2 linked regions of the Macaca fascicularis genome follow. The protein of the gene in region 1 purifies or fractionates together with the protein of each later gene. This does not show direct contact. Links are inferred from orthologs where the notes say so. Each region holds a gene or a part of one and is shown in the gene's direction. Other genes may lie near its edges.

Evidence for each region.
Region 2: the proteins of BTRC (region 1) and TRIB2 purify together in Homo sapiens (affinity purification with western blotting; 3 studies listed by BioGRID and IntAct, with this or other methods). This does not show direct contact. The link is inferred for Macaca fascicularis from reciprocal best matches to the Homo sapiens genes BTRC and TRIB2.

Annotation. Positions count from the first base shown.
Region 1 is NC_088383.1:110,502,507-110,506,028, forward strand, and holds part of BTRC (F-box/WD repeat-containing protein 1A), read left to right. Parts: intron 1-68; coding exon 69-165; intron 166-1,110; coding exon 1,111-1,248; intron 1,249-1,775; coding exon 1,776-1,894; intron 1,895-3,457; coding exon 3,458-3,522. UniProt on the Homo sapiens protein: Substrate recognition component of a SCF (SKP1-CUL1-F-box protein) E3 ubiquitin-protein ligase complex which mediates the ubiquitination and subsequent proteasomal degradation of target proteins. Recognizes and binds to phosphorylated target proteins.
Region 2 is NC_088387.1:109,388,241-109,391,253, reverse strand, and holds the end of TRIB2 (tribbles homolog 2), read left to right. Parts: intron 1-91; coding exon 92-560; 3' UTR 561-2,506; downstream 2,507-3,013.

The DNA of each region.
Region 1 (3,522 bases):
CAAAATATATATGTATATAAATATATAATGTCATGATTTTCATTGGGAAATATTTGTTATTTTTTTAGGGGACAGTATTTATTCAAAAACAAACCTCCTGACGGGAATGCTCCTCCCAACTCTTTTTATAGAGCACTTTATCCTAAAATTATACAAGACATTGAGGTAAGAATCTATGTATTTTGGGGTATTTGCCCAGTGGCACAGAATTATCAGCATTCTTCAGTCACAATATGGTTACAGCAAGCCCATTAAGGTTTATTGACATGAGTTGCAAGTCAATCTCTTAGCTGGCTGTGGTGGCTCACGCCTGTAATCCCAGCACTTTTGGAGGCTGAGGTCAGGAGTTTGAGACCAGCCTGGCTAACATGGTGAGACCCCTTTCTCTACTAAAAATATAAAAATTAGCCAGGCATGGTGGCACACGCCTGTAATTCCAGCTACTCAGGAGCCTGAGGTAGGAGAATTGCTTGAACCTGGGAGGCACGTGTTGCAGTGAGCCGAGATCGTGCCACTGCACTCCAGCCTGAACGACAGAGTGAGACTCCATCAAAAAAAAAAAAAAAGAAAAAGAAAAGAAAATCAGTCTCTTTACAGGCAAGTAGGGTAGGTAAAATAAATTGCTAGGCAAAATTTTAAAGCTTTAAAAAATTGTTTACTATTACATAGATGAGAGAGATAAAGAGATTGATCCCTTCATACAATAGCAGTGTGAATGGTAAACTTGTCCTCAAATATCTTCTGAATTGAACCTCCATAGAAGTTCATCAGTAGCAATGGCCATCACATATGTAAGAGCACTGAGTGTATAACCTCACATAGTTTGTAGCTTTTCTCCTCTTGATGAGTAGTCTCTTCCCACTAGATTTATTATTTAATTGAACAAATTATAGGCAGGGGAGTTCTAGGAAACAAACTTTAATTACTTTGCAAAAGGGAAAATATTTTATAAATGTAGATAGTAGCCTTTTAAAGACATTTTTAAGTTTTCCCTAAGTTGTGTATATCCCATAGAGTAAAGCATCGAGCCTTTGCTTGTCATTAAAGCCCAAAAAGAGTTTGATTCTAGGCGTTTCCTAACACTGCCATTTTCCCATTCCTTCTTCTCAGACAATAGAATCTAACTGGAGATGTGGAAGACATAGTTTACAGAGAATTCACTGCCGAAGTGAAACAAGCAAAGGAGTTTACTGTTTACAGTATGATGATCAGAAAATAGTAAGCGGCCTTCGAGACAACACAATCAAGGTGAGGTCTGTTCAGTTGTAGGAAGGTAGCGGAGGGAGCGAGGCTGACTACATTCTTAGCACAGTCCAAAGCATAAACTCTAAGCATTATTTCTAGAAAGTAAGTGAAGATTTTAGATTGTTTCCAGTTCCAAAGCCAAAATCATTTCCTTAAAGGACAGACATCTGCTTCCCCCCAGAATATTATACAAATGGGTAGTCCTAGGGTTAAATTCTCTTCTTGAAATGCACTGAATGGGCTATTACTCTTTTGGCCCTCACATAATTATAAACTACCTTGTTCCTTAATGAAAAGGATAAAAGTTTGCATAGTACTGAAGCTATATATATATATATATATATATATATATATATATATATATATATGTGGGTGGGTGGGTGTGTGCTTAGCTATACCCATAGGGAAGAATGCTTTCCACACTACTCTGGGCTTTGATTATTTGGGGGATCAAACACATAATAAGACCAACAAGTCTCCACAGCACCCCATCATCACATTGATCAAAAGGATCTTATTTGCCATCCTAGATCTGGGATAAAAACACATTGGAATGCAAGCGAATTCTCACAGGCCATACGGGTTCTGTCCTCTGTCTCCAGTATGATGAGAGAGTGATCATAACTGGATCATCGGATTCCACGGTCAGGTAGAAAATTTCATATGCTCTTTTGAACTCTGAAACATCAGCTCTACTCTGTTCTTTGTCATAGATAGTAATTTTGTATGTATCGGCACAGTTCTGAAACTAAAGAAGAATAAACCACCAGGTCCCCATCATTTCTGTCAGTCTAGAACTAGAAAACTTGATTTAGGAATGCTTGAGGTAAGTTTACATTTTCACACATTTAAGAAACTACACGTTCTATATTAATTTGGAGGATCATCTATTACAGAAACTTTTCTTATCCTTATGGTAAACTTTGCATTCCTTACAAAAGCCATCTCACAAGGGAATGACATGAATGCAATGAAGCCTTCCTTTCAGGTAGTTGTAACTGTAGTGCAGGTCTGTATTATCTCCTTTGAAACATGTACAGGTGAGCTGTGCTCTCTTTGCCAGCCCCTCCCCTGCCATCCCTGCAGTTTTTAATTGCGAGCTTCACTCAGGGAGGGGCCCTCAATTTCCAGAGGCATTAGTGATTTGATGACACAGCCATTATACTGCTGGAGTCTGGGATAGCTTGAGTTCTGGGTACCAGCAGCACTGCTGGGAACCTCTGTTAGGAATTTTGCCTTAAGCTAAAGGATTTAGCAAACATAATGCATCAAAAGTAACTTTAAAAAAAATAGACGTAGGAAAAAAGCAGTTAACTGCATTGTTAGATACTCTGAAGTTAAATGTTTACCATTCCAAGTTATCCTCTGTGAATAGAAAAGACTGTTCCTGTTTTTTGTCTTTTGACTTAAAAGCATAGCAAACTTGTCCTTGTAGTTACTGACATTTAACATTTATTGGTGCTTGTGGAGCGAGTGCCCCACAGAATCTGAAACACTGTAGATGCTAACATCATTTATAAAGAAAAGATGATTTTCTATAAAAGGGGGCTAAACTGGAAAAAGGAAATAACATGTTATAAAACCCAAAGTAAATAAACAAAAATAGAATAATCAAAATATATCATCACACAAAATTCTCAAGCTATCCCAGGACCCCACACTCTGCTGTGAAGCCCATATTTACAATGCAGGGGCTGTTTTAAACCCCTGCCTACTTCAAAACACAGAAATGGGGGCTTAGAATTAGAGTCATGATTATCTTGGCCTTTGACCTTTATGATAAAACCTGAGATCCAGGGTAATCAAACTCAAATTCACATTACTAAGTATGTGACAGAAGCATCTTAGCCTATGTCATTTCTGGCTCCTGAGGGCTATCATTGGGATGGGCACTAATGCTACTGTTATTATTCAGATTCCCCATTTAAAATGTATCTTACTAATGGTATCCAATTGAATGTCAGAAGTTTTACAGTCTGGGCCAAATTATTAGGTGACAGTGGCTGCCACCTCATCCTTGCCCTCCACAACTTGCCCATATTTCAAGCAGTATGTCTTAAGGACACACTGGCAGCATCCCATTCCCTTTCTTCTCCCACTCTCCCGGTCCGGCACTCTCTCTAAATATAAGGGGTGGAAGGGTGCATGATGGTCAAATATAGGTAACAGACTGTAGCTTGAGTACCATCTAAATCTCATCTGTCGCTTCCAGAGTGTGGGATGTAAATACAGGTGAAATGCTAAACACGTTGATTCACCATTGTGAAGCAGTTCTGC
Region 2 (3,013 bases), on another chromosome or scaffold:
TCGGAAACACTATAGTCGGGTATGTTATGATGCTGGTGGTAATGTGTCTCCGAGCACCCTCAGGAGCTTATGTTTTCCTCCTTTCTTGCAGGACTCGGGTCAAGCTGGAAAGCCTGGAAGACGCCTACATTCTGCGGGGAGACGATGATTCCCTCTCCGACAAGCATGGCTGCCCGGCTTACGTAAGCCCAGAGATCTTGAACACCAGCGGCAGCTACTCGGGCAAAGCAGCCGACGTGTGGAGCCTGGGGGTGATGCTGTACACCATGTTGGTGGGGCGGTACCCTTTCCATGACATTGAACCCAGCTCCCTCTTCAGCAAGATCCGGCGTGGCCAGTTCAACATTCCAGAGACTCTGTCACCCAAGGCCAAGTGCCTCATCCGAAGCATTCTGCGGCGGGAGCCCTCGGAGCGGCTGACCTCGCAGGAAATTCTGGACCATCCTTGGTTTTCTACAGATTTTAGCGTCTCGAATTCAGGATATGGTGCTAAGGAAGTGTCTGACCAGTTGGTGCCGGACGTCAACATGGAAGAGAACTTGGACCCTTTCTTTAACTGAGCTCATGCCCCACAGAGACTTAGCAGGTACCAGGAGTGAGCGAGGGCAGCGGAAAGGAGTTCTTCCAGGGGACACGAATTGCCTGGCTGAGTAGCAAAAAAGACATTCACACTCTTAAGTTTCTTGGTTCAGAGAAGGATAACCTTCAAGGAGCTGACTGACCATGTAGCAAGGGGGCAAGAGGCGTGGGATGGGGGTTGGGGTGAGATGGATGGGAGCCCCCCGGAGCTTGTCTTCCCTAACATAGCCTGGGAGACCACCCCTTGCCACTTGGGTCACTTCCGCCTACCCCACTTTTCATTTTGTTCCAAAATAGTTGCAGATCCTCACAGAATGAAAACTCTCTGCCTCAAACACACATCCTGGCATCGCACTGTTAGCATTTAACTTCTTGTTAGGATTCAGGGAAGGAACAGTTGGCCAAGAATTTGTTTTTCTTTGAAACAAGCCAACCACCTAGCTGGTAATTAATGAGGTTCACTTAAAAAAAAAAAATTCGGTGCACACAGACTGACATGAAACCTGGGTGCTACACTAAAAGAAAACAAAAGTCCAGTTTGTGTCTCTTAATCGCTCACTTCAACTCATTTCTTCTAAATAAACTATTTAATATCCTGGTCAGGAAATGACATGTTAATGCTTTGCTCCCTGAAGGGGAAAAAAAATCTGTCCTTTAACAAGCTATTCTGTTTTGTGTCAATTGGTTCGTGGCAGGAAGCTATTAGAAGTCAAACGTCCAGATGCATTACTGCTATCTTAGTTTAAAGGGGGAAAGAAAAGGGAAGAAGAAAGGAAAAGAGAAATCCAACTCCTTTTTCATGTTTTGCTTTTGAACGATGAGGGTTTGTGTGACAGGCATTCCTCTTTGCTGAGGTGATAGCAATGGCCTGAGATTTTAGCAAGCTCCTGGAGTCTGACGCTTTTGCAGCACTCTGATCGCAACTAAACATTTGTCTTTGTTTTATTAGAAGCTAGTGAAACAAAGCAGGTTGTCCCACGTGTATAAAATACAGGGCAGCTATTTCGTTTTCTTTACGGAGAATGATCCTTTTGGCTTGTAAGGCCCTCTGGTTTGGACAAAAAACCCCAGTAGAGACGAGCGGGAAGGATAATTAGCTGGAAGCTATGATGATATAAATAAAAACAGCTCTCTATCCCAATACGCACCTTTGTATTTTCAAGAACTCTTCTATTTATTAAGGAAAATGTCACATTGTGATGTATTAAGCCAGTACTTCAATTACGGGTTGACTTGGGATGACATATTACATGCTGTAGTTAACATTTACGATTTTTTTTCCTTGTTTGAGTATTTCTGTCTCTGAAATAACCTTTTACTTGGCTTTTCTAGATAGCTTTATTTGATTTCGAGTGGCAAAATGTTTTTTATTATGGCTTTTCTATTGCTGTATGATACAGAACTCTTTTGGCATAAATATTTGTGTTCCCAGTACCTCACTTGTTTGGATTTGACTGCCTGTATATGTTTTGTGAAATGGTCCTGTTTTCGGGTAGGTGACACGTGGACTCTAGTATGTAAATGTTACTTGAATCTGTGCTTCATTATAGTGTGTGGCATGTATGTGCGGCCTCTTGGATGCTTTATGCCTGCGCAGCAGGAGCCCTGTCCTCACGTTCCCAGGAGGGCGGCTTCACCCTTCGTAACCAGGAGACAAGGCGGCCATGGATTTGCCCTTGATTCTATTTTGCTAATGGAAGATATAAAGGAGAGAAGGTTTTTTTTTTTTTAACATTCTGAAGATGGTGCTGTGTCAAGAAGGACGTTTTTTTCTTCCCTCTCCCCTATTTTTTAAGTACCTTGGAGGAGGAGAGATTGGTGACATGCATGGTGGGGATCTATGGCCTCTGGTGCTTTGTCCTGTATTTGGTTTAATGTTTTTGTCCTAATCTCTTCAATCAATAAAATTGTGCGTATTTAACTAAAATGTTAGAGTCTGGAAAATGATGATTTTTTTTTTTTTTTTTTTTTTTTTTTTGCCACCTGTGCTTTGTGATCACCACACACCAAGCAGAAGCTCACATCTTCTTCCAGGCATTTGCTCTTTCAGGGTGAGCCACTGCTACTAATTTAAGACACGGAATCTCCCTTTCATCATATCGGGGCATATGCTGTCCAATCTGGATGCAATAGCTCACACTGAATCGTTACAACAACTGTAGGTGACCTGACTTACGTTCCTAATACAGATTAGGAAATAAACCCAGAAATGTGCATGCCTTGTCCAAGGTTAAACAACTTGTAAGTGATAGGCCCAAGACTGGACCCCATGTCTGGTTAGCCACCAAGCTTGTTTACTCTTGCTACAATGTTAAGAGTCCCTATGTTCTTAGGGAGAGAGTAACAATAGCTCTGGAGTAATCAGGATTACATAGGGCACAAGTAATCCAGGCTTACACATGGTTTCCCTAGGAAAAGCCGTGTGCTGCAAATT